4 linked regions of the Cricetulus griseus genome follow. The protein of the gene in region 3 binds, or shares a complex with, the protein of the main gene of each other region. Links are inferred from orthologs where the notes say so. Each region holds a gene or a part of one and is shown on either strand. Other genes may lie near its edges.

Region 1 (8,697 bases), on a different chromosome or scaffold from region 3:
TCCAGCACTCTTACACAAACATACATGTAGGCAAAACACCAATGTACATAAAAATAGAGAAATTAAAATTATTTATTTGTTATGCATAAGTATACCTGTGTAAACCATGTACAAATTTGGAGCTCAGAGGACAACTTTTTTTGGGCAGGGGGGTTGAGACAGGCTTTCTTTTCATAGCCTTGGCTGTCCTAGAACTAACTCTGTAGACCAGACTGACCTCACAGAGATCTGCCTGCCTCTGTGTCCCAAGTGCTGGGATTAAAGGTGTGCGCCACCACTGCCCTGCCTCAGAAGACAACTTTTGGGAGTCACTTTTTTTTTTCTTTCACTATGTATGAGTTCTGGGAATTGATCTCAGATCGTCAGGCTTGGCAGCAATCCCCTTCACCCACTGAGCCATCTTGCCAGCCCTATCTATTATTTTTAATCTTCGTGTGTGTTAGGGGCACAAAACTGCCATGGTGCCCACGTGGAGGTCAGAAGGCAAGCTCAGGAGTCAGTCTTCATCTTCCCCATGTTTTGAGGCAGAAACTGTTGTCTACTGCTCCTGTGCCAGACAGGCTGGCAGTGAGCTTCTGGGATCTTCCTGCTTCCACCGCTCATCCCACAGTAGGAACATATGTATGGCAAAATCGCCCTACTCTGCTTGGCTTTTATGTGGGTTCTGAAGATTTGAGTTCAGGTCTCATGCTGTGTGGCAAGGGTTCTTCCTGCTGAGTTATCTCCTCTGCCCCAAGTGATGTTTTTAAACCTCAGCTCTGGCTAGACTTGGGATAAAGACTTATGTTGGGTGTTTAAGGGAGCTATGACCGTTCTAAAGGTGTCTGATGACATAGCCTCTGGGTTTAGAAGCAAAAGCTGAACAGGGGCTCATGTAGAGCTTCTGTCATAGCAGAGATGCCACACCTGGCCTTTGAATCAAGTTCTTGCCAGTCTTCTTTGTGCCATTACAAATGACCGGACAGGCTCGCCAAGCATCTCTGATGGTAGATGGTGTGGAGCCAACACACATCTATTTATTACAAATCCCACAAGCCGGGCCCTCAACCCTGTTGCCCCAGCAGGAGTCAGCAGGACATAGTGCATGATCTATTGTAAGGAAAGTATCACAGTGAGGCAGCAGCCTTCCCTGGACTCATGGACACGGATGACACACTTTCACATGGCATGTTATAAAAAAGAAAGTCACGAGCATATGAAACTATCAAAATTGGTAAATCATGTGTGTGTACACGTGTGTACATGCATGAGTGTGTGGACATGTATGTGAGTGCATGCACTTGTGGGCATGTACATACAAGTGTGTATGTTTGCATGTGTGAGTATGCACGTGTGTGCACACGTGCACATGTGAGTGTATGTGTACAGGTGTGTGCTTGCATGTGTGAGTATGCACGTGTGTGTAGGTGTGCACATGTGAGTGTGTGCCCTTGCATGTGCATGCAGGTATGAGTATGTGTACACATGTCTGTGTGTGTGTGTGCATGCAGGTGTGAGTGTGTGTACACATGTCTGTGTGGGTGCATGCAGGTATGAGTGTGTATACACATGTCTGTGTGTGTGTGCATGCAGGTGTGAGTGTATGTACACATGTCTGTGTGTGTGTGTGTGTGTGTGTGTGTGTGTGTGTGTGTGCCTGCAGGTGTGAGTGTGTGTACACATGTCTGTTGTGTGTGCCTGCAGGTGTGAGTGTGTGTACACATGTCTGTTGTGTGTTCATGCAGGTGTGAGTGTGTGTATAAATGTTTCTGTGTGTGTGTGCATGCAGGTGTGAGTGTGTGTATAGATGTTTCTGTGTGTGTGTGCATGCAGGTGTGAGTAGGTGCGTGTCCCCCCACATGAGCACACGTGGAGGCACAGCGAGAGTGTTACATGAACTGGAGAATGGCTGGGGACAGGCTAGAAGACTGTCAAGACTGACTAACCAGGGTGACAGGACATCAGAAAAGACATCCCTGTCACCTTAATATCTCTGTTCATATGGAAAAGTGTTCAGAAAGATAAAACAGAATAAGATCCAAAGTCTCTGTTTTGGAGAAAAGCAATGAGTGTCTTTCATGGGCAACAGGTCCCCTGTGTTCATGTTAAAACATCAAAAGCATCTTGCTCAAGGTGGGACTGAGGCTCCATACCTGGCTCTGTGGGCTTCTTCAGATGAGCCAAGGAATGAAGATTATAAAACCAGGAGGATGAAACAACACTGTCTCTCTTCTACTATTGATAAACTGTCAGCAAGTCACTGTCAGCCTTTTTAGCAGGTCTCAGATTAAGCAGTAACAAGGGCTGGTAAGAGGGTTCAGAGAGTAAAGGGCTTTTCTGCCAAGCCTGATAACCTGAGTTAGATTCCCCAGGATCTCACATGGCGGAAAGAGAGAATCTGCTCCCACACACTGTCCTCTGACCTCCACAGATACAGCCTGGCAGGTGATTTTTAAAAAGTTTAAAAAGCTGTCGTGAGACTTTGGCCTAGGTTTCCACAAGCGTAAATCTAGTATGCAAAGGCTGACATTTCCCTTACATATGGGGAGCAGATAGGAAATTCAATTTAAAATTATTAGCTTCAATAGTGCTGAGAGTAATAAGGAATCAAGAGATAAATCTTTTGGAAAATGTGCATGACCTTTCTGGGAGGAAATGGCAAAATTTTATTGAAAGATATGAAGGAGAAAGAGAGGATACTATAATAGGCAGGCAGACTGAGTGTTACAAAGGTATCAGGTCCCCACTCGCTGCTGTAGATTGAACTCAGCATTGCCCAAGATTCTGGTGCCATTGGCTTAAGCTTATTCCACAGTGTAGATGTGAAATCTACATCAGCAACAATCTCAACAATCTCAAGGGTTTCCCGATTGCATGTAAAGGCTTAGAGCTGGGGTAACAGAAGCAGGCTTGTGCTGGCTGCTGGGAGGGCATGTGGACCAGCAGAGGAGAGGACAGGGTTGGCTTGCAGATGACAGTCTTGGCACATGAGACAGCTTGACTGCCACTCACTGAGAAAAGAGAGGTGGAACTCTGTTTAATGGATGGCACTTTGTGGTGGTCAGCATTCTGTCAATATGGCAGAATCTAGAATCACCTGGGAAAAGGGCCACCGAACATGGTTACTGGAGTTTGATCACGTTGATTGAGGTGGAAAGATCAGCCCACTGTGGGTGACACTGTCCTGTGGGCAGGGACCTGGACTGTGTTCATGGAGAGAAGGATCTGAGTGGCACTGTGTGTTCACTGTTTCCTGATTGTGGGTGACCAGATGCTTCCAGCTCCTGCAGCTTTGGCTTGCCCTCTGTGGTGAACCAGAATAAACCCTTTCTCACTTAAGTTGCTTTGGTCAGAGCGTGTTCTCACGGGGGTAGGAAAAGAAACTTAGAAAGCACTAGAGAATTCAAATTAACATCCCACAACAACTACAAGCAGTCCTTGATCCACTCCACGTGTGACAGAAACCTTACACACTTTACAGAATATCTTTATAAAATTGGGTAGGAATGCTTAAGGAAGACTTAAAGAGTATAAGTCATTAGGGAAGAAAATTTAAAGTTGACTACATACAAACACATAAAAACATTTATAAATATCATAGCTTATACAAAATAATCCCAAGACTGGAAATGAGCTAGGCAATGTTTATAGCAATACACACTTGAAAATCAAGCACTGAACTTATCCAAATAATTATGAGAGGAAAAAAATATCCCAATAGAGAAATGGACAAATATGTAAATAGGCAACTTATGCAATAGGAAACTCAAAAGTTCAATAAACAATCACAACCACAAGTGCCCAACAAAATACCCCAAACACAAAAGCCCAACAACACATGGCAAGTGTCTCAGTATCCCTAACAGTCAATTGATACAATCAAAATGGCAAGAAGCCTACATCAGCTTGTAGGCAGGGGTTTTGGTTTGGGATAGTTTTCCAGCTAGGATCTTGTTATATAGCTCTGGCTGGCTTGGAACTCACTCTGTATCCTGAACTCAAGCTCACAGAGACCCTGCTGTCTCAGCTTCTTTGGATTGCAGGTGTGAGTCACCATGCTGTGAGCAGCTTTTGACAGATAGCTTGCCAAGTTTCTATGAGCTTGCTTTACTGCATCTGACCCTGCCTCCCCTCCTTTCTCCTTCCCCTACCATCTTTCTCTCACGATTCCTCTTCTTCCTTCTCTCCCATCTCTCCCTCCATCCGTTTTCCTTCTCCTCTCTTTCCTCCCCTCCTCTTCTCTCTCCTCTCTTCCTCCTTCCTTCTCGTTCCCCCTTCCCCTCCTTTGCCTTTTATCTTCACACTGGCCCCTGCTCAGGAACCCACCACCACCACCACCTCCACACACACCAGGCATCCTCTGTTGGACATTACATTTCACAGCCACCAGCTCTCCCCGCTGGTGACTCTGAGGTCACTCTCTCATGGCCCCTGTCTCCTCCTGCCTTACTCATGGCTGTGATGGAATTTCTCTGCATACTAAGAACTCCAGAACACCCTGACTTCCTGTACTTTAGAGTCACCAGCTCCCAATACAATGCCTGACACATAGTAGGCACACATTAAGTGCTTACACTTGGATTTAGGCTAACTGGCTTCTGGGAGGATGCAGATTCTTAGGAGCCTGGCCTGCCTTCTCTCCCCCCTCCATGTTTGCCCTCAAGCCCCAGACTGCCACCAAGGTAACTCTGAATGAGTAGAACCATTTTGTCCCTGCCCTAGGTCAGGAAGTGAACCTCCAAGCTCAGAGGGTGCCCTGATTCCCGTTGGAACTTGGGTCTGGTGCCCATGGGTGGCCCAGGCCCAACTTAGCACCTGAGGGGCCCCAGGTCCTCTTCCAGACCGCATGCTCCACCCCCCTCAAGGCTGTGGGGCAGCAGCTTGGGTAAGTTCCTCTTCCGTTTCCTCCTGCCTCCTGAACTCGGGTGTCGCTCCTCACTGCAAGACACCTCCCAGCCACTCCACACCGCTGGTGTCCACAGCAACTCTCCTGGCCCCCAAGTGTCATCACTGGCTGCTGGGTCTCGAATGAAATGCAGGCCATCAAGTGTGTGGTGGTGGGTGATGGGTAAGTGCCTGGCTGAGTTGTCTCCCACCCCCTACCAGGATGTTGCCTCCCTAGCATACTCACAGGTTGAGGGCTCCCAGGAGGTCCTGGGGATAGTCACTTCCTCTCCTAGGGCTCACAAGGAACATTTGGGGTGGACCTGGATTGCTCTTCTGTTCCCATCCCACCCCATCCCGGAAGCCACCTGGGTGGAGGGCCTAGGACTGTGGGTGGGGTACTGCTCCTTGCCTGTACCCTGAGAGCTGGGGTAGGGCTCCTGTTGGGGGCCTGGAGTTATGTTCCTATTCAGTGTGCAGGTGTGAAGTGAGGAAACCAGGCAACTTGACCTTTGGACCTTTGTTCTCCAGGCTGACCTAGACACTGACTTGCTGCTGCTGAGGGACTACTGAGAATTTCCACTCTTTCTGACTCTTATCCCGCCATCTGTGCCAAGGCCTCTCTGCCCCCAGGGGTGGGCTGGGGTCGCTTGAGACTGTCCTGCTTGTAGTGTAGTGGGGAAGATGAGAGGGGATGTCAGTGAGGAGTATGGGGAACACTGGGGAACACTGAGGCCAGTGTAAGGGAAGGAGGAAGGTGAAAGGGGATCGCGGGGACTTCCAGGGGGCAGGCTGGCTGCACCCCAGCTGAGGGTGCATAACCATTGTCAGATCTTGGGACCACAGGCTGTCATGGCCCCAGAACTCAATCTGATGAGTAGTCAGTGGGTCCCAAGGCCACACTTGGGTTCTGCTGGTCTCACTGGGGGCAGAGGCTATCTGCTGCTCAGCTGACTTTATTGCCGTTGCGGCTGCTGCTGCTGCTGCTAGAGGGGTGTCAGCCAGCCGTTATCTGCTGCAGCTGCCTTACTCACTTCTGCTTTGTATCTGCTCTGAGTGGGCGAGAGGGGGGTGGCCGGAAATCAATGGTTCTACTCATTCAGAGTTACCTTGGTGGCAGTCTGGGGCTTGAGGGCAAACATGGAGGTGGGAGAGAAGGCGGGCCAGGCTCCTAGAATGGGAAGTGACTTAACGGAATAGAGCTGGGGAAGGCCCAGAGCTGCCCCTCTGGCCTCTCTGCTTCCTGCTTGAATGACCTGGGCAGCCTCCTAGATTGGCAGGGAGACAGCCTAAATGGTGGTCGTCTCTATTTGTCCCATTTCTTTGTCACTTACTGTGCGTGGTCACCTGGTCATGGCCCTTTGTCTAATTTAGCTTCCCACTAACCCTATCTGCCATCGCAGAGTTCATTTCATTGGTGGGAAGACTGAAGCCCAGAGAAGTTAAGAAACCTCCCTTAGAGTGCAGAGGATTTGAACCCAGGCCCCTTTGGTAAAAAGCTCCATACTCTATAAGGCTGCAGGCATTCCTTAACAGTCATTGGTTGTTGTGGCGCCTTGCATGGGTTCAGTCTGGTCTTAGGAGTGTCACTTTATTCACTGGGAAGATGGACTTGTCCTTGTCATCTAGATGCGGAAAGTAAGGTACAAGCAGCTTAGGAGACTTGCCAAAGTTGTGTAGATGGTAAATGGTGGAACTGGGATCTGAGCCCAGGTGTGTGACAGCCTTGTCCAGGTCTCCATGGCCCTCTTCTCTGCTCAATGGCTGCCTGTGTCTATCACCTGCACCCAGGACATTGGGACTTGTACAGTTCCTCAGTTCTCCCAAGACGCATGGCTCAGACCCATGGCCAGGATTGAAGTCAGTGTATTTATGGGTACTGTGGAGAGGTTGAGAGCATGGCCACGGGGTGTCTGGAATTGGGAGACTGAGGCCCAGAGATGGGAGCCTGTGTAGAGGGCTTGGGTCTCCCCTTGTCTTAGGCACAGCCAGTGACCTTGTCTCTTCTGCTTCTTGTCTCTTGTCTTTCAGAGCCGTGGGCAAGACGTGTCTTCTCATCAGCTATACCACCAATGCCTTCCCTGGAGAATACATCCCCACTGTGTGAGTTCTGCCTGCTCCTGGTACTTCTTGGGGGTCTCTTCTTTGGACCCCTAAGGTCAGGCAGGCTAGTAAAGCTAGAGAGACTCCACCTTGGGGAAACTGACCCCAAGGGAGGTGGATGCTCCAGAAGGAAGAAGGACTGTGGGATGGACTGACCAGGAGAAGAAAGTAGGAGTGGAGACGGAGTGTGGCAGTGAGGGAGGAGTAGCACTAGAGAGCAGCAAAGTTAGGGGACCAAATTGCTGGTGTGGGGCAGTACCAGCTGCAATCTGTGGGAAGACTTTTTTCTGGTGCAGGATATAGCCACAGGGGGCAACCATGATACAAAGTGATGAGTGTCCAGGTGTCAGAAGGGACTCTGGGCAACCCCCACTCACAGGGAAGCTCCCCAGTGCCTTGCACAGATTTCAGTCTCTTCAGGCTCTCCCTCAGTCTCCTTTCCTAGAGATTTTACCCACTGTTTTGCTTTTTATACCAACACTCCTTTGGTAAGCCTGCTGTAGGGCCTTTGCATCAGCTCTTGCCATGCCTGTGGTGATTTCCTGTCTCATCCTCATGTCTACACTCTCCAGCCCATCCTTGGTGTCCTCCTGGGAGCCTTTGATCAGGCCTAGAGTCCTATCATCCCCCAGAGGAGTCTGCCAGATCTCCCCCAAGATCATGAGCCTGTGGAGGGCAGGAGCCTTGTGTTTTTCTCGGGCTCTCCTCACCTTCTCTACATGGCGGTTGACACACAGTGTCATACATACACAAAGTCTTATACATGACAGATGTGTTTTGCAGTGACAAGGCCCAGTGGAACCATCACACTAGTTAGAAGGCCTTCAGTTTGGTGGCCCAGTACAGGATGTCACACTCCTGATTGCATCGTGTCCTCAAGGGAAGAGGGTGTTACAATATCCTGATGGCTCATTGCAGCTAAGGGGCTTGTCCCCCAGGGCCACTCAGCCTGTATGGCTTCAGAGCCTCAATGGGGCCCTTACCTTTATCTTCACGGGAGCCCTGCCTGGAGCATAAAGGGTAAACAAAGGGACACCCAAAGCCCACCCCTGCAGGCCATCAGAGGAACCACCAACCCCACTAATGCCAAACCAAGGCTCTACTCCAAGTCCTCCATGTCCCTGTACAGGGCTCCATTTCTGGAACAGGGATTCATCTGTCTCTGACACCTGGCTTAGCTGGGAGGACCCAACAAAGGACAGCCAGAGGGGCTGGGTAGACAGCTGGACATTGCTTTTTGCCCAGTTGTGTCCTGATATGAATGAACACTAGAAACTGCCCTGCTGCGTAAAGTGGGGATGACTCTTGCCGTCAGGTTTCTAAGGCTCTGGGAAGTCAGAGTGACCCTAGGTGTGCAACCCCTTGCACGTCCCTACTCCTAGACCTGAGCAAGAACAGGAACAAAGGGGATTCTGGTTGAAGGCCACTGTCACCAGGGTGTGTTGATACTGCCCTTGTCCCTGAGTCAAGACCCTATCCTGTCTTTACTTGCCCTGGCTGTGGTGGAGGACCCACCTGCTCAGGGATTTCAAAGTGGCCACAAAGTGGCCACTCTCCCTCTGAGCCCACGAGCCTCAGTTTCCCTTTTTACAAGAGACAGACCCTGGACTGGGAGATCTGAGCCTTGTGCAGCAGCTTCCCTGTGAGGAGGTGGGAGATGAAGGCTGAGGTCAGGTGCTGAGGTTTGCCCCTGATTGATAGCCCTGTGCTATTGTGTAGGTGGCATCTGGT
Region 2 (6,965 bases), on a different chromosome or scaffold from region 3:
GTTGTGTGCCTAACGGGGATTCCAGAGCATGCAGGGCACGATGCTTGATTGCACCTGGGAATCCGAGGAGCCACTCAACACTGGGGCTTTGGGCGTTGTCTCCAGGGGTCTTGCCACAGTGTCCCATTAATTCGGATGCATTTGGGCCATAGTTAGTATGACGGCAGAAACTCAGACACAGGGCACTTTCAGTTCCCTTTCTTGATGGGAAGAGGAGTTTCTGGACGATTCGGCTAAGGTGCCGGAAGCCTGAGAGTTGCTGGAGGCTAACAGAGCAACTTCAAGACGAGGATTCGGTTAAGGAAAGGGTTCCCAGATATGACTGTGGCTTGGAAGTAAGACCAGGCCTCACTTTCTGGGCTGTGTTGTCCCTGTGCCCATGTATAATTGTGAGTTGAGACAGTCTCGTGGATAAAGGCCGCTGTGGACCTTCCCCTGGCCTCCTGTTTAGACTGATGAGGTGCTGCCTGTGTGCAGTGGTTGCAGGCTTCAGCTGTGTGTCTTTCTCAGCCGGGTCTGCTGTGAGGTGAAGCCCAGGTTCCAGAGATGTACATGCAAGTGGAGACACGAACCAGCACCCGCCTCCATCTGACGAGGGCTCCAGGCATCCGGTCTTGGTCCCTGCTGGTCGGTAAGACTTATGTTTTTCCCAAGTCAAATCTTAAGTGATGGGAACAGTTTCTTCGTATTCTATTGGAGGTTCTTGTCAATACAAGACCTTGGTAAAGCATGCTTCATTCACTTTGGTGTGCCTTCCCTTTCAGAGGGCATGCAGGGTCCCCTTAACAGACATGCACTCCCAGCCTGTCTGCTTTCTTGAGGTCACTAGGTTTTCTTCCATGTGACAGGTGATCATGGGTTCACATTTCTCTTCCTCCCTGTCTCCGTCCTCCTGGACTCTGTCCCCCATCACTGCCTACCAGAAGTGTCTTGCATCTCATGAACAGCTGCACTTGTGTTGGCTGGGCTGTTCAGAGTCTGAGGTGAGGTACTGGCTGTGACTTCAGCAGCAGGTTCTCTATAGTCCTTTATGATTCGTGAAGGTCCTCATGACATTCTGCATACTGTGCTCTGTGTTGTATTATCTCTGTGTAGTCTTGTCTTTGCTCCTCATCACAGGTAGGCAATACTGACATCTGGGTCATTGCATTTTTCATTTGATTGCAGACGAGTCTGGTGAATGCCATGGATAGCATAACCTGTTTTTTTTTTATTTAATTTTTTAATTATGTAAGTGTATCTATGTATGGGTCTGTGCAGGTGCATATAGGTGCTGTGGAGTCCAAAATAGTGTTACATCTCTGGCGCTGAAGTCACACGAGGTTGTGAGTGGCCTGCGGGTGCCAAATGTTGGACTTTCTTTGGGCTGTCAGTCCACAAATAACGAAATGGAAATTTATTATGAAAGTTTGGCTTTTAGCTTAGGCTTGTCCCCAACTACCGCCTATAACTTAAACTAACCCGCATCTATTAATCTGTGTTCTGCCATGTGGCTTTTTTTCTATAAATAATTATTTAAGTTTATTTTATGTGCATTGATATAAAGGTGTCAGATTCCCCTGGAACTGGAGTTACAGACAGCTATGAATTGCCATGTGGGTGCTGGGAATTGAACCTGGGTCCTTTGGAAGAGCAGCCAGTGCTCCAACTGCTTGCTTCTCCAGCCCCCATGGCATGTGTTTTTTTCTACATCTCTTCCATTGTGTTTGTCTGACTTGGTCCAAATCTTGTTGAGGTCTCTGAGTGCCTAAATTCATCCCAAGTTCCTTTCGCTGCTCAGAAGTACTGCCTATTCTCTCCTGCATAGCTGTTGGCCATTCAGCTCTTTATTAAACTAGTCACAGTGACACATGTTCACACTATGTGATAAAATGGCCCACAACAGTGCTGAGAACTGAACTGGGTTCCTCTGCAGTAGTATATATTCTTAAACAATAAGCTATCTTTCCAGTCCCCCCCTCCCTATTTTTAAACAAACTTCTTGGCTGTGTCCCCAACCCTGCACTAGGTAGCTTCTACCTGCTGCCCCTGAACAAGCTATCCTGCTGTGAGACAGGCCTGCTTTGGGGGGCTGCAGCACAAGAAGAAGGGGAACTCTCCTTGACAGTTAACAAGATAATCCCTCTCTCCACAGGAATATTATCCACTGGCCTGGCTGCTGCCTATTATAGTGGAGGTAAAGTATGTTTTTCCCATCAGCTTCCTTGTACTTGGAAATAAACAAAAAGCAGAGAGCATTCCTAGTGTGTGTAACCTTTGGGGTGGCCTTTGCCTTGCCTTGTGTGAGAGATGACTATAGTCCATGTCCTGTACCTTAAATTTCTTCCTGTTATAAAGTACTCTCGGAAAGAAGCTCTTTAGTATTTATTTGCCTGCCACTTTGCTACAGGGAAAAATCGTGTGTCTTACCCTCCATGACAAGGTATATAGATCTACCTGTCTCCTAGGTGGACTTAGGCAGAGTTTGGGATACACATGTCACCAACGACCCAGGAAGGTACAGGAACGCAGTTGACTAAGCCTGTAACCTGAGATGAAGGAAGGAAAGGCTGGGCTGGAAGGACCCTCCTGTGGACATATCACTTTGGCTCCTTTAGCTAATGGGCTGATATACTATCTCTGCTTGCAGATAGTCTGGGCTGGAAGCTCTTCTATGTCACAGGCTGCCTGTTTGTGGCTGTACAGAACTTGGAGGATTGGGAGGTAAGATGGTATAGTAGCACCCTTCCCATGGGAAAGCATCTGTCCAGGTCCACAGGCACTGGGTTACCTGGACTCAGCCTTTGACTTAGCTTGTAACATTTCTGGACTCTTCTAGAAGCTGCTCATAACTTTTTTCACCAAGGTTCTGTGTTGTTCTTCTGCAGGCTTGCCTCAAACTCAAAAGTAAGCCTACTACCTCAGTCTTCAGATAGGCGTGAAGCACCACACTCAACTCCAGAAGTTCTTTTTTTCTAGGGTTGTGGCAATAAGTCTGCATTGTCCCTGGGCTGGACTAGCTACACAGGCAGGGACCTGTGAGACCATTCTGCTAACTCAGTTGGACCAGCTCCCAGGCCCTGAAGTTCAAGGGTTGGGGGCTTCCTCTGACCAGCCAGGACTTCACTGCAGGCCTAAAATAGTTGAAAGGAATCAGCAGAAACTGAGCCTGGGAAAAGTCAGGTGGTAGCCTTTGGGGGCGTCCCCTATCCTTAGCTTTAGCCCTCTTAGGATTATGGAAGCTTCCTGGCCTGGGCTTCTGCTTTTTGCTTAATGGCCTCATTGCCAACCTGTCTTGTTGCTCTTTTATTTGCCCAGTACTGAGGGATGAACTTAGGGCCTCATACCTGCTGGGCAAGTGTTCTATCACTGAGCTAGATACCCAGCCTGGTCTCGTTCTCATGCAAAGAGAAAAGGGCACCTATTCCGTCTGCTTTCTCTCACATGCCCCTTAGGCACAGAAGGTGGCTCTGGAAGAGCCCTGAGGGCTTTGGGGGGTGGGTTTCCACTGGGCATCTTGAGTATTTGTGCCAGTGTGGGTGTGGTGATCCCTCAATACTAGCTTGCTCTCTTCCTGGAGTTGTGTGTGTGGTTAGCATACATTGGTTTGCAGGAAGCTATTTTCAACAAGAGCACTGGGAAGGTCATCTTAAAAACATTCAGCCTCTACAAGAAGCTGCTGACTCTCCTAAGAGCAGGCCATGACCAAGGTAAGATGTGGGGAGTTGCAGTTTGGTGAGGGCTTGGGGAGGTTTGGATGGTTTGCTTGCTCAGGGAATGAGGGTCCCCCAGACAGATCCCAGCTTGCAGGGTGGGATCCAGGCAGATACCCCATCCTGCATACTTAAGGACTAAGCCTATCAGTAAGGATGGAAACGCCTTATCAGCTCCCTGCGGTTGGGTAACAGTAGTTGGAGTGGGTCACTGTGCCAAGCATACTAGCAGGAGTCATCTGTTCTTCAGGGCCCACTAGGCCTCTCTTAGGCCCAGGTCCTGTAGCTGTTTCCTATCAGCTCTGCTAGCCTAGCAGTGAGAAGATGGTCAGAGGAAGCCCCCAACCCCTGAACTTATGGGCTTGTGAGCTAGTCTGTGAAGTAACAGGCTCTCATAGGTCTCTTCCCTGTGTATTCAGCCCAGCCATTGTGCATTACAAACATGCAAGTAACTGTGTGTGCATCCCACAGGATCCTAAGTAGGCTTTAACATAAGGAGTCAGGCCTCTAACTTGTATGGAGTGCTAACAGTATACAGCCAAAAGTAACATTCGAATGTGGCCCATTCATTGGCCGTGTACAGCCAATGAAGACCAGAGCAGGGTTGTGGGATGCGAGCTAGTGCGCTGGCTCAACTTTCCCAGGCTGCTTGTTGAGAGCCCCAGCACAGACAGCAGGCCACGGGGTCAATCTGATGTCACTGTGGCAGTGGGGTGAAATAGGCTTTCCAGTGGCTCCTGGGAAAGCAGTATCAGCCATGCATTAGTTAGGCAATGGTTTTCCTATACAAGGAAATGACAGGGGTGCCCCACTGGAACCAGATAGGTTTTCCAGCCTTCGGTAAAATCAGGCAAAAAGAGTAGCATGAAGATGGCAGCTTGGGCTTAGTGATCCCAATAGGATTGCTCAGGGCAGCCAGCTTTTGCCTAAAACTGCAGGAGCGATGAGTCTCCTGAATGTATCCTTATCCAGATGTTATTCTGAATCCACAGTCTAGAATGTGGAATAGTAAACGCTTTTGTCACTAATGCCACTCCTACTGTTAAGCAGAGTTCTACAGCATAGGGTAAGAGCATAGGGATGGCCGCTCATCTGCAAACCCTTCTGTCCCCAGTGGTGGTCCTGCTGAAAGACATCCAGGATGTGAATGTGGAGGAGGAAAAGGTCCGTTACTTTGGGAAGGGCTACACTGTGGTGCTCCGGTTTGCAACAGGCTTCTCCCATCCCCTTACTCAGAGTGCAGTCATGGGCCGACGCAGGTAAGGGTGGTGTAGAGCAAGACTGGGCTATCCCTTAGTGTTTCTCAGGGCAGCAGGGGAGGAGTTGAATTTTGTAGACAGGAACATGGGGCTGGAGGAGGGATGTATGTACTTAGGGGCAGCTTTGCCATGGATATCTGTGGGGAGGGGGGCAGCACAACAAAGTTGATGTCTGTTAAGAGTATGACTGAGGCCAGAGGTACTGGGCCTGTTTGGGACACCAGTGGTTGTTGTAGGTGGTGGGGGATGAGACAGTGTAGGTCTTCTGTGGTGTGTTATGGAACCTGTACCCTTTGCCATGGTGACCTGCTTTCTTGATGCTCGCCTAGTGATGTGGAAGCCATTGCCAAACTCATCACTAGCTTCTTGGAACTGCATCGCCTGGAGAGCCCCTCAGAACGGTCACAAAGCAGCGACAGTGAAGCCGATGGCCCTGGTGATCAGAGCTGACAGTGTAGAGTGGCTGCTGGTAAATGTCACCCCCTTCTGACATGTCTCCAACTGACTTGCCAACTGTGAGCATGCAGGCAGATCTTGGACACCTGCCTATGACTCCTTGGGCAATTCTTGTGTGGACCACCTGCCTTTTGCTTGTTTATGCTTCTACGCTTTGCAGAACCATGGGCTGATGTGCTCCACAACCCAGAAAGGCTGCATCTGTCATGATGCAGGTGGGGGGAGCTACATCCAGAGGAGGGCAGGGTCTCAGAACTCAGTGCCTTCTCCAGAGTCAGATGGCAGTTCTGGCTTAGGCAGCACAGTCTGGTTTGGATGAGCTCACCCAAGGGCATCTGAGGTTTAAGACGCCAGTCTTTTCTTCAGCATAGGCCCAGTGCCTGCCTTCAAGAGGCCTTGCCACCCAGGCTATTGTAGTGAGAGTGAAACACCTACATGCCTGTAAGGAGAACCCTCTCTCTGTGCATAGTGGTGTCGACTTATTGCTATAAATCCTGATATCTCTTCTCCCCACCCCTCCTCAAAATGGACATCCTTGGTGGTCAGGGGCTTCCCTGAAGGCAGCTCAGAATGCTGGATGCCTGGATGCTGCCTGGCTGCAGAACTCTCAGAGAAAAGTGCTGCCGACTGCCCTGTTCCTGCCTAGACCACTTGTCTAAGGTCCCAGCAGTGTTGTAGCACAGCTGTTAGGAAGCTCTCCCAACCCAGCCTGGGGAGAAGCTGCTAGTGGAGGAAAGGCCACCTCTTCTGGCATCCTGCAGCCTTTAAAACCTGGGAGCTCCTTTACAGAAATTGAGTCTTAGCCTCTCAAGCCTTGAAAAGAAGGTAGACATGTGAGGCACACCCCTGTAAATCCCAGTTTTAAGTGAGGAATGAAGAAAGTTCAAGGCCAGTGCAGGCCACTGCCTCTTCTAACAGAAGTTGGTACCTGCCACTGATGGCTATTTCCTGCTCTTCTAGTTCTCTTCTGGGCAGACTCAAGTCCCTCAAAAGTAGTGCTCATGAAGTTTCCAGCTTGGCTTCCAGGCCTGAAAGCTGTGGACCTCTGGTTTGCACATAACCCCCCAAAGCTGAGTACCTATGCCTGGCCAGGTAGAACTGGGAAATTGAGGAGTTATATAGACAAAGAAGTCAAGGCAGCCTTGAGGCCACTTTGCCTGGGCTGAGCAGGAGTAGTTAGCCAGAACCTAAACAGGTCTTCTCTGAAGTGACTGCTACCAGTTCTGACTTGGGGAACATGATCCCTTGAACTTGCTAAAGTGAGCTTTTTAAATGGCCAAGTTAGACATTTTTTTTTTCCATAAATGAAAAGTGGAATACAGCTGTTGGCTTTTAGCTTGTTGCCTACAGACTTAAGGTACTTTAGACAAGGGAGAGGAGTCTCTCTCTTGGGTGCTGTCAAATACCTTTCCTGTATATCCCAGTGCTGGGACTCATTATTGGTGAAGAAATGAAGCCCTTTTCATAAGCAAGGGGTATGGTAAAAAGCTGATTCAAGTTCCTGTTAGGATTTCTGCTTCTACTGGTCTTTTTATTTCATAATTAATAAAGCTCTACA
Region 3 (8,097 bases):
AAGGATTGAGGGAAAAGTTAGCTAGCTCCTGCATCACAACAAATTTGAAGAGAAACAGTATGGCTTTGTTAGGCTCCCTATATCATCTCCATAGTACCATCTTTATCGCTATTGTTAGCATCCATAAAATTTGAGAAATAACAGATGTTGATGTCCTTTACCAATCTTTGACACAACCATAAAATATAGATGTAGTGCTAGAACAATGGAGAGATATCATTAGGTAATACAGTGTTCATTCAGAGACAACCATTTTATCTTAACATGTAATGAATGCAAAGCACATTTTATTCAAAGAGAAAACTCATGAGTCAATGGAATAGGTCCCACCAGGATAGCAATCCTTCATTTTTCCTAACTGCTATCTTCAGTGTGGTCAGCAATCATAAAGAGAAGCCACAAGTCATGCTGATGCTGAACTTTCAAGAAAATGATCTTCTCACCACTTCCTGAAAATGAGGCAGGATGATCAGTTGGTAAAGTTTGAAGGAAGGGCTTTACTGTCTTTGATTGCCTGGGCCCTCTTTGTTCCTCCTTATCCTACAGATGCCATTTCTGTGCTTTGGCCCACCTCTGAATTATTACCAGCCATCTCCCAAATAGTCAAGCTGTCATCATGCCTTATAGCTTCCTCAGGGAACTACCTCTTTGCCTTTGTCCACTAACTTCTAAAAGGAAGTTTCTCTGTTACTGTCACAAAAAGCCTTGCCCAATTTCAACAAACTAACATTATAGAGCAAGGGCAATTGTTGGGACATCCTGGCAAATTTCTATGTTCTATTGAAACTGAATTTCAAAATAATGAAAAGTGGAACTAAAGTGCAGTACATATTGAATAGGGTGTATTGTGAGCTTTTGTAGCTCTATTTTATGTATACTTTGTCTGATTGTGTTTGCATTTCATGATCATAAACATTTTCGGTAAAATGTCAAGAGCGATCCATACATCTACCTACAGAACTCAGGCAAAGAATCTGACAGTAATGCCCACACATGGTGGTGGTAATAATATGTGATAAATATGAAGGATAACACTTTCTATGGCACTCCTTATAATTTTGAAATCCCATGTTTATTCTACATCTCTCCCACAAGACTCTAAGCTCCTTAAGTTTGTGGCCATCTGCCCTTACTCACTCTGTGTCTCCAGTTATTAATATATTGAAAGACCAGGGTGACAATTCAATAACTGACAAACTTAATTTTCAGTATATTTTTACTAAAGTATGTTCATCCATCTTCTTTTTTCAACATGGGAGATGGAATTTAGGGCCTTTTGTATTTGGCATGTTCTTCAGCACTAAGCTACAGCCCTTCCTAGAAGGGCATATTCACATTTAATTTGCATTATTTGACCTACTTCCCTGCTAAATCATTCCTGAGACAGAAAGCACAAGGGACTCCCTCCAGGAGGACACATCATTTGAGGTGGAGCCATTCAAGGCCCTCTGATTCTGAGACTATATAAGACATAAGGCAAAAGACCTTATCTTTTAACCTTCCTGTTTCAGTCTGACCTGAAGATTAGGATGGTCACAAGTTAAAAATTTGTTTCTACACATAAGCGAGGTTATTAAAAGTTCACCAAGGACTTCTGTATGCTTAGTCCTATCCTTGGGGCAACCAGAAGGGTTCAAAACCCAAGTCTGAATGATTCAGACCTCTAAAACCAAACAAAAATTCCATGGCTGTTTAGTTAGCACAGTGTTCCATTAACAAGTTCTTGAAATTATTATATCCTTACCATTTCTAGAGTAGGTTATTTAGCAGGTTCAAATAGTCATATTAAACAGAACCACAGGGACAGCTCAAGATGTTTAGTTGACACATACAAAATCAAATGGGTTCTGGGAGCACAATTACCTGGCTTTGAACCCCAATCCTCCCATTTAATTGTGTTGCCACCTCACTCCTTTTACATGAGTTCTATGATGCTTCAGTGAGCTATGACAGTTCCGATCTCCAACATTAGTCACAGCATTAACATCTCAATCAGAAAAGTAGTTTCATTTTTCCAAGTTCAAATTTCAGACGGCCAATTTCAGAAAGAAGGGCATGCCATCCCTGTAACAGACCATTGTTTTTGAGGGAGGGGAATTGGGAAGGAAGGGTCACAGAAGAGGTGGTATGAAAGCATAAAGAGCAATTCTAGGGAAGGAGGAGTATAAGTGGCAATGAATGACAGAGAGATGGGGAGAGAAGACAGTGAAGAGCCTGGTCAGCCAGAACCAAGTATGTATGAAAATGCCCATGACTCCATATGCTAATTTAAATAAATAAATAAATAAATGAGTGGGGGAAACGGTTCTTCTGTATGAAGATCTAGCTATCTGGTTAAACAGTTGGGCTTTTCTCCAATTTACCACTGCTATTAAAAATACTCATGACATTTTATATGTGGTGCTCATGGGAAATGGACACTTAAGGCTATGCAACTTCGGGTTGTGGGGTAACCAGGATTTCTTAACTGACCACCTTGGTGAAAACACTGCCTGTTTCTCAGGCTTTACTTCCTCTAAATAGAAAGTATTCAAGTGGGGACAGGGAGAATTTTTTTACAGCACTCAAATCATGTCTCCATAAAAAACAAAAAGTCACTGTGCAATGGTTTCATCTAGCAACTCTTCATCTGGCTCCTGTACTATTTTAAAGATGGATGGGCAGCTTGGCTCTCAGCCTTTCAATCCAGTGAAATTTCATGTCTGTGGAGTCTTCCATTCAGGAGATTATTTGGAAAGCCTCGTGGCCAATGTCCACCACAAGGTACTCTTGTGAGATTTTGCCCTGGTTTTGCTCAGTTTGCAAGGTGAAATTGTGACATCAAATTAATGACTTAGATCAAGGAGCTTTGTCACAATATTTTCCAGTGCTAAAGGACCTGACCCTTTCCAGAGAAGCTCAAAGGATTTGCCAACATTCTTCTTTTATTTCTGTCTGTTTGATTTGTTGTTTTGCTCCTGAGCAAAATGACTCTAACACTTTGCTCAACTACATATGGAACTCAGGGCTGACTGCATGGCACTACCAAGCTGCACCTTTTCCCGACTCTTCTCAGACCCCTGAGAATGCAGTTTAAGATGAAATGGTATTTTGTAAAGAGGTGGGTAGTATCAAAGTTTAATTGTTGTCTGCTCATCCCATTTTAGCAAATTGATGGATGTATGTTTTTAAATAAAAACTCTTCTTTACACTAATATGAATTTTATATGACTCGAAAGAGGGAGGTAAAGTAAAACATAAGTTGAATCTGTAAATCACAATCTAGTTCATATATTCAGTAATTGTCAACTGAAGAGTTAATTCCTTAGCTCTATTTTTAAGTGCCTAGTTTCCCAGCAAATTTCCTGCTCTCTTTCCAAGTCTTAGCTTAGAGCAGTAGTTCTCAACCTGTGGGTCGTGACCCCTTTCACAGGGAGTAGAAAAACATGGAAGCTTACATTATGATTCATAACAGTAGCAAAATGACAGTGATGAAGTAGCAATGAAAATCATTTGATGGTTGGGGGGGTCACCACAACAAGAGGAACTGTACAAAGGGTCACAGCATTAGGAAAGTTGAGAACCACTGCCGTAGACACCCATTACAATTACTGTCCTCTCATAAATGTAGTTTGCTTGCTGTTTTCCCTCAAAGTTGATTTTAACTTACATATTTTAAGATTTTAGGAGTGAGGGGGAGGGGTGGACAAGTTTGTGGGGTGCTCAGAAGTTGATGTCAAGTGTCTTCTCTATTTTCCACCTTAATTTTGAGGCAAAATCTCTCACTGAATCCGAAGCTCACCTATTCTGCAAGACTAGCTGGCCGTCGAACTCCAGGTCCTAGGAGGACACTAACCCCTAAATATTTCTCAGGAATTATTCAATATGGTCAGAAATAGCAAAAAAATCCCAAAGTGAAGCATTGTCTTGCTGATAATTAGGCTTTAAAGGCTAGTTACACAGAAATATATCTCAATCCAGCTCAGGATGCTGCCTGTCCTTGGCTTGAGTTTCATGTTCAACCTGTCCAATTCTGTGCACTGTTTCTATATTTTTCCCCTTTGGGAAGAATATACTATCCCTCTTTCTCCCAAGACAGATAGAACCTGAACATATTCATCTTCATTCTCCAAGTACACAAATGTTCATAGAAGGAAAACAATCTAAGCATCAACTCATACATTGGATAAACACCATCCTTTGCATTTCTTTTGGTACTGATGATTGACCCCACAGCCTCATACATAGTTGGCAAGCACTGTCCTACTGAGCTGCATGCTTTGCCCAACAAATACATTTAAATGGAACACAATAAAGGGTAATACAGAAGGTATTAAAATATTTTTCATTTTGAGTATAAAAATTTCTCATCATTTTCTATGCTCTTGCCCATGCTATTGTCTCCGCATAGAATACTTCTCTTTTTTTCTTTTTTCTTAATTTATTTTTTACATTCTAATCCCAGTTCCCCCTCCTCCCCTCCTCCCACTCCACCCACTGCCCCCCAAACCACCTCCAATCTGCTCCTTGGACAGGGTAAGGCCTCCCCTAGGAGGTCTACTAAGTCTGTCCATTCATCTCCTTGAGGCAGGACCACCTCCACACCCCTGTGTCTAGGATGGGCAAGGTATCTGTTTATATAGAATTGGCTCAACAAAGTCAGTTTGTGCATTAGAGCTAGATCTTCGACCCATTGCCAGTGGCCTCAGATATTGCCTCAGCCACACCATTGTCATCTGTATTCAGAGAGCAATAATATGAACAAAGGAGTCAAGACCATGATGGAGAAACCCACAGAATTAGCTGACCCGAGCTAGTGAGAGATCACCGACTCCGGTCCGACAACTGGGGAACCTGACTGAACTAGAATACTTTCCTATTTCATCAACCAGTTCTGGCTGTTGATTTATCCTTACATGCTGATTCTCAAGCTACTTCTCTCTGAAACCTTCCTGGCATTCCCTACCCCATCTAATGTAATTTCTGTCATATTTGATGCCTATGGCTCTTTATTTTAATGTTTTATGGGATCTACCGTATTTTGCTCAGTACAACATTTCTTTGAACACATGTGATAAATAAATATTAATGACTTAATTTTCATCTTCATATAATGCTACCAGTTTTTAAAACATATATAAAATCTTATAGGGCAAAGGGGGTTATGGACATGAGGAAAGCTCTGAAGCTTTCAATCCCATGAAGCTAAAATCCTTTGCTTTGCTTTTCTTTACTTTTGTTTTCTTTTTAAAATGATCTCACGATGTAGCTGAGAGAAGCCTAGAAGTCACTATGTATCCTGGGATGGCCTCAAAATTAAAATTTTCCTGTCTCAGGCTCCTCATTGCTGGGATTATAGATATGTGCCACCATAGGAATCAACTGTTACTACTGATATTTTCTTATGGTATGTTGTTTTGTGCAATGACTGAATTTGCTTGAGATGCTACCCACAAAAAGTGTTTTCTCTGATAAAAACTTAAAAATATTCTTGAGCAGGTAATTCCAAAATATCACATGTCTGGCTCATATACCCCTAACACATGTATGTTTACTCCATTACTATTGTTGATATATAGTTTGTTTAGCTATTTTTCAAAATTACCAAGTCAAATGATTGCTCCAGGGAACACTACCCTCAAATAGTATATTATAATTTGATATATACCATTTAATAGATAAATACTTATGTGTGTTGATATATGTATGTGATGTATATGACAGCATAGGACATGGTGTAGCTCTTGAATATTCTAGACAAGATAAGCTTCCCAATGCATTACTTTGCTCTTCCTTAAAAAGAGCATGACGGCTTGAAAAGTTGAGGCAGTCAGCAGAAGGTTTGTTCTTACCGCACTGGAACCCCTGAGGAAGGAGAGCAAATTTCGACACACTGGCAGCAGGATCAGCATGCAGTTGAAATTCAGGCAGGCTGCAGGTGCCCTGGCCAGAGCCAGTGCTGACTACAAGGGAGTGGATAGGGAGGAGAGAGACTGGTGAGCAGAAGACCCATACTTCTCTCCCCTGAGCGCTATCATGGGACCCCCACATAGCTCCTTCAGGACATCCAGAATGGAATTTCCTTCAGAGCAGAGAACCTTTTCTTAGGGTCTACTGATATGCTTTATTTTACCTGAAGCTGATTTTCACCCCCAACTGAATATTTTAAAGTTTCAAACCTGAAGAGGAGTAGAAATAAATGTACTTTGATTTTTGTTTACCCACCTCCCAGACTAAACCTTTTACATTTTAGCATGCATGCATTATCATATATCTATCTTTCCATCCCTTTCTCTATCAGAGGAGACTATCAGGTGTCCTGCTGTATTTCTATTGCTCTCTGCTTTATTCCCTTGTGACAAGGTCTCACCTTGAACCAGGATCTCGCTGTCTTTTGTCTAGTCTGGTGTTCAGTAAGCTCTAGGGATCCTACTGTCTCTACTACTCCCTCCCGCTTCCAATAGTGGAGTTATAGGTGCGTGTGGCCACACTTAGCTTTTTACATGGGAGCTGGGGAACTGAACTCTTACCCTCATGCTTGTGTAGCAAGAACTCCTATCCTTTGAGCCCTCTTATATATGTGATATGTTTTAAAGTAAGTTGCATGCATCAGCTTACTTCCTCCTAAATCTTTAAGTGTACATACCATTCTCATGAGGTCAGTATAAGAACTAGATCTTTGATTTTAAACAAAGTCCCCTTAGCATTTAGACATTAACTGTATGGCGTAATACTTGGGCAAAATCTGTTTAGCAATATCTAAAGAAGTTGCCTATTATACAAGGAGAACAGATCATGGTGGATACATTAAAGACAGATTTAACAATGTGATGTTTGATAATATTTAAACAAATGATTATAACATTAATATAAGTAATTGTTTTCAGCATTATATAAAAATGCTGTGCTCTGGGAGTGCCAGTAGTTGTAATTATTTTCATTTGTGATGAAGAGACATAACAGTTCAAGGAAACAGATTACTTAAGGACTCAAAGAAATTCAAGGCTCTCCTTCCTGCTGGCCTACTGAAATGATGTAGTACACAAACAAGTTCCCACAAGTCTCCAGATGTAGCTTAGGGTTCATTTCCTCAAGATCATTTCACATGTCATTATGAGGGCTTCTCCATGCAAATAAAAAATGATATGAAGCATCTAACTTAGAAAACTATAGAAAATTTCAATTGTCACACCAGTGTCACCTCTGTATGGGTGGCTCCCACTAGGCTTTCCATTATAGGGATTCCTATGTTAAGCTTGGTACATAATGGGTAAAGAGGGATGCAGCTAGGACCCTCTGCCACACTTCATTTTTTTTACACTGTCAGGCCTTAAGAGACTCTTCTTTTTTTTACACTGTCAGGCCTTAAGAGACTCTTGCCAAAGAATTTACATTTGGGGAGGGGAGCTGGTGATGTTGTCTTGGTTGATCAGAATATTTATTTTCAATCTTAAAAGGAATACATACAAGCACATCTGCCTAGAAGTGTAAACAGGTTGATATTGCATGAGGTAGAAGTTTACTCACCCCAAGGAGTTTTCGAGTATAAAAGTACTTAGGTCCATCATCATAAAACTTGTAGTAGTGAATAAAGAGGAAGACGTTCAACCCCAACCACACCAGCTGCACAAACAGGAAAAGTCAGATGAGGTTTATAAATCTAAATAGATGGATTCCACATGATACTAGAGTCAAGTAAAGGACAGGGCTTCCTCCAAGTTCTGGCTTTGACAAAGGTGGTTACAAAGCTGGATACAATCAGCTTAGAGGCAGCACTTTGTTATTCCAGTGCCACTACACTTTTCAGCAACTGACTTTATCTTCCTTCAGGGTTTTGCATGATTGCTTCACTACTTGGTCAACATACTAAATTAATATCAGTCTGTCTCTTCTCTTTTCTCTCTCCTCTTCTTTTCATCTTAAGCTCAGAAAGACAGGTAACATTGGTTGGTATGTAAAGCAAGAACAGATGGAAATAAGGTATTGCTGACTCTCAACCTGTAGGAAACTGAACTCTACTCTCACAGATGCCAGTCGCCTACTTGCAGCACATATAGATTACCATTCTATTTGATAAGTTTTCCTCAACTTTTAAAGGAGGGGATATTGAACACGGAC
Region 4 (8,097 bases), on a different chromosome or scaffold from region 3:
TGACAGTGATGGGCGAACAGTTGACCTTTCCCCCCTTAGTTTCCAGAGAGAAGTTCTTATTACTATTTCTTATTATGTCTCCTAAGGGACACAGTCAGCATGAGTGGATTTTACACATGGGTTGCCCTTTCTTTTCGATTATTAAATGGTATATGCTGTACTGATAATTTCAATTTACTCTGTTGGAGAATATTTGCCTAGAAAGGATTTTATTATAAATGGGAATGATTTCACTTAAAATGTTCTTGTAAATTATTACTTTTTCCTCCGATGAGGCCAATCTGTTTGCATCTATGTGCACTGATCTCCCCCAAACTCCCAACAGAATCCTTCTAGAACTCCATCTAGGCTCATCATGGTTTGGCGTTCTCTGCCACTGTTTTCTGTGGAGGCTGTAAGTTGTTCTCATCCACTAATTAGGAAAAGCAAAGCAAATTGCCATTTACTGTGTATCCACTGCAATATGTATCACCAGCCAAATTAAGTACTTCCACATTTTCCAAACAGTGCTGCTCCAGGGTTAGTATTCAGTAGAGGCCAGCTGCTATGATGCCTCACCTCATTTCATTCTCTAGCTTCAACATCAGGTGTGGAACCCGGTCCAGAGAGGCTACACTGCTACTCAGGGACCCACAGCTAGTAAATGGGAGCTGGTATAAAAACCTAGGATTGGGCTATAGAGATGACTCAGCGGTCAGTAGCACTGCTCTTCCAGAGGTCCTAGGTTAGATTCCCAGCACCCACATGGCAGCTCACAACCATCTGTTATTCCAGTCCAGGGAATCTATTGTCCTCTTTTGGTCTCCATGGGCACCAGGCATGCAGGTGGCACACAGACATACATGCAAACAAAAAACATAAAAAAACAAACTAGACCTGCAGACTCAATGGGGGCTATTTCCACCTCACTGCACTGCCTTGGGGAGGACATACAGCCAGGCATAGTACCACACATTTAATCTCAGTACGTAAGAGGCTGGAGCAAGAAGATGACTTCCAGGCAGCCCTGTACTACCCAGAGAGACCCGCCTGCCTCAGAAATGTCTTTTAAAAGTCATGGTTCTGAAGCTTTAGAGAATATGAGGATTACCTAGAGCTAGCACTTAGGAAGAATGTTTTAGTAGGTTTTAGATGGAGTGCAAAAGCTGAATTTCTAACAAGATCCTTAGTGTTTGTGCTAGGAAAAGAGGATGAGTTCAGTGCCAAGAAACTTTAGGGCAGCAGGATGGCTCAGCCTGATGATCTGAGCTCAACTCCCAGAGAACTGACTTGTCCAAGTTGTCCTTTGAGCTACTCATACAACATGGCTCACAGGTACATAAACACACACACACACACACACACACACACACACACACACACAGAGAGAGAGAGAGAGAGAGAGAGAGAGAGAGAGAGAGAGAGAGAGAGAGGAGAGAGACAGAGACAGAGACACAGAGAGAGACAGAGAGAAGCTAGCTGAATTTATACCATAGATTGTCATTTACTTGTGGCTCAAATTATTTCCCAATATGAAAGGAAAGAACAACACCTACATTAATCACCCTGGGACTATTTTAAGATTTCAGTAAGGCAACTTAGGCCTACTGAGGGTTCTGTACACCTTTCAGTTTCATTTACCCAACCATTTAGTATTCATAAAATATTTTAGGCCTATGCTAAGTTCTGAGCATCAACTGCTTCCATTAGTGGTTTTCAGTATTCACTGGCCAACAAATTAGCAAATTTAATAGGCCCCTTGCTATTTCAGGGTGATCAAGGTTTGATAGACGAACCCAAGGAAAGTGAAAACTTTGATGTCAATACCCGGACAGCAGAGCCTCAGCTTAAGGAAGGAAGCCAAGTAACAGCAATCTTCAGTTATGAGGCCACTCAGCCGGAAGACCTGGAGTTTGTGGAAGGAGATGTAATCCTGGTGCTCTCACATGGTAAGTCGTATTCCAAATCACAGAACTGGACTCATGTATCAGTAAAAACAAGGTCAAGGTCAGACAGAGAACATCAACTCTTAAGTCAATAGTTTCAACTGACTTCCTAGCTTTTGGTAAAAGGGTCCACATGCAAGGGTGTGGCTTTCTCTATTAGGGACAAGACTATGACATCATCTTGACTGTTCCAGTATGTAATTGGCTTTAATTGTTCTGCCTTTGCTATAAACCATAAAACCTTTAATTGTACCTTCAGGAGAGAAGGGGAGGGCCCATTCTGCAGTAGAGGCACACTTGTGACTTATCTGATTGTTCGGAACCTATGGATTAAGAAGTGAACCAGACTGGAGGGATGGCTCAGTGGGTAGCAGTGGCAGGGCTTTCGGAACAGGGATTCTAGTATTCATGTAAAATCCTGGCTGCGGCCACATTTGTGCCTATAACTCCAGTACTGTGGGAGCAGAGACAGGCATTTTGGTAGGACTGACACCTCAGCTCCAGATCCAGTTAGAGTCCATCTTAAAGGGCTAAGAGAAGACAGACACCCAACTACTTCTGGCCATTGTATGCGCAGAGGCTCTTTACACACAGGTGTGCGCGCATATACACACACACCTTCCCTACACAAAAGTAAAGCATTACGTGAAGAAGTCTCAGTGATTCTCAATGTTCATTATACCTAAGCATCCTTTGAAGGGTTAAGTTTATTGGCCCACCTTCCAGAGTCTGGGTCAGATGTGGGGTGAGGCCCACAAAGTTGCACTTCTCAGCAGTTTCCAAGTGATACTGGTCTAATTATATCAGGAAGTACTGCTGTAATTGAGGTGAGTACTGAGCATCAGCTGCTTCCAGATGTTCTCCATCTGTTCACTAATGCTAAGCATCATTAAGGCAAAGTAGTATGTAGCTGTTTATAATAGCAAATCCAATAGACTGAGTGAAAGACTTGCGGTTACCTGGATAGGTGTGTCAGGGTTTCTATTGCTGTGGAAAGACACCAGAACCATGGCAACTCTCATAAGGGAAAACATTTAATTGGGGCTGGCTTACAGTTCAGAGGTTTACTCTATTATCATCATGATGGGAAGCATGGCAGCATGCAGGCAGACGTGACATCAAGGTAGCTTAGAGTTCTACATCTTGATCTGCAGGCAGCAGGAGACTGCCACACAGGGCACAGCTTGAGCGTATGAGACCTCAAAGCTATCCACCCCCCCCCCCCCAGTGACATACTTCCTCCAAGACCACACCTCCTAACAGTGCCACTCCCTATGTGCCAAGCATTCAAACCCATGAGTCTATGGGGACCATTCCTATTCAAACCACCACAATAGAGTATATACAACTCATCGTGTATAGTGTAGCAACTCAAAGGAGAAAAGCATTTTCTTTCAAAAGAGATTACAAAATCAGTAAGGACTGGGCTTAAGAACCCAGCACCATGTTGTATAACATCTAGCTTTTTGTGTATGTGGTGGTGGTGTTGGGTAAAATAACAATGAGAACACACAAGAAAAACCTTAAGAAGACACCATATCCTATGACACTCATGATAGCCACAGTGGTTTAAGCAGGCAAGTGTCCCTCTGTGCAATCTGTTCTCAAGATAACAATGGGAGACAGAATTTAGCATCTATGGAGATGAAGCTTTAGTGTGTATGACTTGCTGGGATCCTCTTCAAATGGACACTGGCTAACTAAAGCTTGAGATACAGTCAACAGATTCTGCATTTTGGATATGTTCCTAAGACCCAGGCAAGCAGATGCTTCCAACCCATAACCAAACCATAAATAGAAGACTGAAGGTAGTGGTCTGCACCTTAACACTCTAGAGGGAAATTGGGGAATAACTAATGCTTAATCATAGTCTACACTATACTTGTTTTCAAGACAGGGTCTCACTATGTAGCTCTGGCTGACCTAGAACTCACTGAGATTCACCTGCCTGTTTCCCAAGTGTGGTGATTAAAACGGTGTGCACCACTATGCCTGGGACTATAGGAAGTTCTAGTAGCATATCCAAATATGACTTCTGAATGGCTCTTGTATGTTTAAATGGATATAATTAACCTGTATGGTGTGATTTGATGATTACTTTCTGGGTGTCTCTGTCCTTAAAAATGGGGACAATAACTTTTAACTGAGTTACTTACTGTTAAGCCCTGAGTGTGTATTTAGTCACAGTGAACATATCTTATTAAAGGATTATTATAATGCTTGTTTTTACAAATGTACTAAACCCAATTCAATTAACAATTTTTTCCCCCCAAGACAGGGTTTCTCTGTGGCTTTTGGAGGCTGTTCTGGAACTAGCTCTTGTAGTCCAGGCTGGCCTTGAACTCACAGAGATCCGCCTGCCTCTGACTCCTGAGTGCTGGGATTAAAGACGTGCGCCACCACCGCCCAGCCCTAACTCCAAGTTTTAAGGTGTTGATTAATCACTATTGAATTTACCAGCATGCCCTTTCATGTTATCAAAACGAATTCCAGCAAAGCCTAGATAAGATGGTTTCTTAAAAAAAACCTAACAAACCCAAAAACTCCCCTTGATGATTCATGTTCCGTTCTTGTATATTTACAGTAATTCATCCTACATTTTACTCTTATTTATCACATCTACAACAGAACCGGTAGACTTTATGTTCACTTTAACCTCAAATTACTTTCCAGTATGTTACCACAAAGGAAACGGGAAGATGACTAGCTGGGTTAAGTGCTGACCACTTATGACAGTGCCATTTTTCCTGTCTTTTAGTAATCAATATATACTTTGCTTTTATCAGTGAATGAAGAATGGCTGGAAGGAGAGTGTAAAGGGAAAGTTGGCATTTTCCCTAAAGCCTTTGTTGAAGAATGTGCAACCAAGGACTTGGAAGGCACTCCCAGAGAAGTCTAGGATGCTCTATAACCCACAAAGCTGAAGAGCGCTAGTGTTTTCAAGATTTACCCATCTCTGCTATGCACCAAAGACATGTTTGGAAATCTTCTCTAACGTAACATTTCCCTATTAAAACTGAACCCATCCCACAGTTGTGAGAATTTGGGATGATTTCCTTGTACATGAGAAGAGGGAGATAAATTTTCTAGAAAGGGAATGAAGGGCTCTTCTTGGGTGCTGGTTACCCAGATATGAACTTCATGAGAACTTCCGGAGTTCTCATGCCAAAGGGTGCATCCTTCTGTTATGAAAATAGAACAGGACAGTGTCCAGACCCAATAGATGATTGGGAATATTCTTCCTGATGTTAAAGCTTAGGTTTCATTAAAGAGGAGCTAGGTTTAATCAGGTACCCATGGAGTAGAAGATTCATTCCCATGGAGAATTAAACTCTCACAGTGAAAGCTCTTTATGCCTTGTTAGATGGACACTTACTAAGAGCTGAATAGTAAACACATGGCTCTAGCACCTGAATGATGAAAAGCTGTGTTCAGGAGACAGGCTACAGCCATTGAAATCCTGCTGCTTTACCTGTGCTATTCAACACTAATCCACGTGATAAAACTCATGTCATTTTGGTGGTCCCTGTTACCTGGGAACAAGGATCCCTAAACAGTAGACCTTGGGACAGTACCGCCCTGCCACTCTTTGTAGCACATAGGGCTTTACTATTTTTCAAGTTTGTAGGTGCAAGTGAAGAGCAGGAAGGACATGGAGTTTTTTGAGTTGTTCTTTGGTTTTTCAAGACAGGGTTTCTCTGTTTAGCCCTGGCTAAACCAGAACTAGCTCTGTAGATCAGGCTGACCTGGAACTCACAGTGATAGGATTAAAGGCATGCATCAACACGGTCCGGCAGGAAGTTAAGTTTTACGTGGAATCACAATCTAGGTGAGAGGCTAGTACACTGTTGAAGTTGCCTTTGGAAACTGGACAAACTGGAAGAGAGACCACCCTATGGCTAACAGTTATCGATGTTGGTGTCAGAGTCAGTGAAGTTTAAAGGCCAGACAATAAACTGAATCACCTCCTGATGAGTTACAAAGTAGATTGTTCCTGCCTTTACAGAAGCCACTCTACTGAAGAAAGAACTGTGGCAGTCTTATTTCTATCATTTTCCAGAACAATTCACTGGAATGCTAAAAAAAAGCAAAATTAACCCCAAAGCATAGCCAGTTGTGACCATCTTTCTTTGTTCCTGAAGATGGATGAGTAAGTTCTAAGCTCTGTTTTTACTTCTGTACCTTTAAGGCAGAATGAACACTCCACACAGAGTTGGTTGGAGAGAACACGGTTTAATTAAAGGCAAAGCTGATTTCAGCAGCTGCAGATCTTGCACAGACAGACCGGGGGAAAAAAAAAAGAAGAAGAAGAAAAAAAAGACAAACCAAATCAAAACACAAAGGAAAGTATTACACAAAACCAGTTGAAGATTCTCCTCCTCTTCCTCATTACCCCACAGTGAGGATGGCAAGGTGAGGAACCCTGCCGAGAGTCATAAAACATTCCAAACACCAAATTCTCATGCAGACTGGGGCTGAAGATGGGAAGTGGGTACTACTGGGAGGGAGCTGGTAAACCTGTTGGCTGGTCTAAGGTGCAAGAATCAGTGACATTTCCAACATCGGAATGTTGCAGCTGTCTGAATGCAGAGCTTACATACACAAACCGGGTGAAGGGAGCAGGGAAGGAATAGGTAAGAGGACAAAGGTGGACACAGGGAGGGGACTGGAGCAGCACAGAGGGTTTCATTTGCCATTGGGTGGGGGTAGGGAGGGGTTCACTTCCAGACCTTTCAAAAACAAAACAAAACCAAGAAAACCCAAATACCATGTCAAACTAAAAGAGCAATAGAGTAAGTCTGGGGCTCCAAGCACTCTTTCTGAAGAGCAATACCTCACCCCTCTCATTGCCGGGGCAGCCCAGACCCCAGTGACACCCGGGGCTCATGGATGTGCTTTGCTCTACAGCTGTCTTCCAGCTAAGTTCCACACTAACTCCACACTTAGCCCTTGCCCTCTGGGAGAGTAGATGGCCATGTGTGGACACACACACATGCACACACACGCGCACACACACCTACTTCCCAGAAAATAATCCCTATCCTAGCACAGCAATTGGACATTTAGATTGTTTCCATAATTTCCCCTTAAAATATTACTTTTCCAGGAAATGACTAACAGAAATGCTGTCCTTCTGTTCCTACACAGAACATCTTCAGTTCTCTTTCCTCCCAATAAATATCAAATAAAGAGTTTATTCCTTTCTTCCGCCTGTTCCAAAGCGGCGTTCGTTCTGTTTTCTTCTGTGCACAGTGTGCATTTGTCCCTGTTGCCTTCAGTTTTGTTCTTGAGGTGAAGGCTGGGAGCCTGTGACTGGGCAGAGGCCCGGCTCCTCTGTAGCGATGCAGGCACTACTGCTTCCTTCCTCTTCAGACCGTCTTTTGGGCCCCAAGTGCTGGCCCCGTGTTGCTGCTTCTTGGCGAGATGTTGTACACATTAGGGATAAAACAATTACTAGGATACAGCATATGGCTAAAGGGGTGGAGACTGGTGCAAGAGGCTGGTAAGCAGGATGGGGACACAAAACCAACTTAACAAAAAATAACCACACTGAAAGCATCCACCTATTAAAATGTGTTCCAGGCTATGAATGGAATAGCCTGCCTTCTGTGAGACTGCTTGCTACGCTACTGCAAAAGTGTAGGAATCAAAAACATTAATTTGAAATCTTACAGCAGCCACCTGCTGGTCTAGCCCAGCAGCACCACCCACACTGCATCCTCGATTGGGGCTCGAGCACCTACAGAGTGAAGGGCATTTCCTGCTGGAGTTTCCAGGCTGGAGGAAGGCCTACCAGAACCTTCTATGAGGCCTGTACTCTCCCTTATGGAACACTCCCACTGGCTTAAGAGGTCAGTTCCCTGTCCCGTCACCACCGACCTCTCACAGGAGCAGCAAACAGGACTGTCTTTGCTCCACACTGACTAGAAGTACACCTGTGTATGGAAGAATTCAGTGTGATATTTTGCTACTGAGAGTAATAACAATAAAAGATGTTTAAGAATAATTTCAACTACATTCTCAGTCAGCAAAGCACTCATAATGGATTCCTATTTTATTCCCCAAAGAGGAAAAAAGGACTGAGAAGTTCCTATTGGCTTCTCCCATCTGCCTTCCCTTCTCAGCTTCCACTTCCCACGTGTTGGGGACATGCGCGGTGGAGAAGGTGAGA

The links.
Region 1: cytochrome b-245 heavy chain (region 3) and ras-related C3 botulinum toxin substrate 2 share a complex: the UniProt entries of both Homo sapiens proteins name them as parts of the phagocyte NADPH oxidase complex. The link is inferred for Cricetulus griseus from reciprocal best matches to the Homo sapiens genes CYBB and RAC2.
Region 2: the proteins of cytochrome b-245 heavy chain (region 3) and cytochrome b-245 chaperone 1 are in contact, whole or in part, in a cryo-EM structure (PDB 8KEI), measured with the Homo sapiens proteins. The link is inferred for Cricetulus griseus from reciprocal best matches to the Homo sapiens genes CYBB and CYBC1. Residues at the interface, in NP_000388.2 of Homo sapiens: Trp28, Asn74, Leu75, Leu76, Ser77, Phe78, Leu79, Arg80, Gly81, Ser82, Ser83, Ala84, Cys85, Cys86, Trp206, His210, Phe212, Pro266, Met268, Trp270, Lys271, Ile273, Tyr280, Tyr324, Phe326, Lys328, Leu335, Glu336, Trp337, His338; in NP_001028218.1 of Homo sapiens: Arg22, Leu26, Ala37, Ser41, Gly42, Asp43, Trp47, Phe50, Tyr51, Phe57, Gln61, Asn62, Glu64, Lys77, His97, Asp98, Gln99, Val100, Val101, Val102, Leu103, Arg108, Ser111, Glu115, Val117, Arg118, Tyr119, Phe120, Arg129, Ala131.
Region 4: cytochrome b-245 heavy chain (region 3) and Ncf2 share a complex: the UniProt entries of both Homo sapiens proteins name them as parts of the phagocyte NADPH oxidase complex. The link is inferred for Cricetulus griseus from reciprocal best matches to the Homo sapiens genes CYBB and NCF2.

What each region holds. Positions count from the first base shown.
Region 1 is NC_048595.1:375,669,442-375,678,138, reverse strand, and holds the start of ras-related C3 botulinum toxin substrate 2, read left to right. Parts: upstream 1-4,147; 5' UTR 4,148-5,012; coding exon 5,013-5,047; intron 5,048-6,894; coding exon 6,895-6,966; intron 6,967-8,697. UniProt on the Homo sapiens protein: Plasma membrane-associated small GTPase which cycles between an active GTP-bound and inactive GDP-bound state.
Region 2 is NC_048600.1:133,701,177-133,708,141, reverse strand, and holds part of cytochrome b-245 chaperone 1, read left to right. Parts: intron 1-510; 5' UTR 511-546; coding exon 547-631; intron 632-2,134; coding exon 2,135-2,176; intron 2,177-2,629; coding exon 2,630-2,703; intron 2,704-3,592; coding exon 3,593-3,689; intron 3,690-4,806; coding exon 4,807-4,951; intron 4,952-5,280; coding exon 5,281-5,401; 3' UTR 5,402-6,965. UniProt on the Homo sapiens protein: Functions as a chaperone necessary for a stable expression of the CYBA and CYBB subunits of the cytochrome b-245 heterodimer. Controls the phagocyte respiratory burst and is essential for innate immunity.
Region 3 is NC_048604.1:115,384,254-115,392,350, reverse strand, and holds part of cytochrome b-245 heavy chain, read right to left. Parts: intron 7,603-8,097; coding exon 7,507-7,602; intron 5,943-7,506; coding exon 5,832-5,942; intron 1-5,831. UniProt on the Homo sapiens protein: Catalytic subunit of the phagocyte NADPH oxidase complex that mediates the transfer of electrons from cytosolic NADPH to O2 to produce the superoxide anion (O2(-)).
Region 4 is NC_048598.1:38,801,427-38,809,523, reverse strand, and holds the end of Ncf2 (neutrophil cytosol factor 2), read left to right. Parts: intron 1-1,750; coding exon 1,751-1,928; intron 1,929-4,711; coding exon 4,712-4,824; 3' UTR 4,825-5,149; downstream 5,150-8,097. UniProt on the Homo sapiens protein: Subunit of the phagocyte NADPH oxidase complex that mediates the transfer of electrons from cytosolic NADPH to O2 to produce the superoxide anion (O2(-)).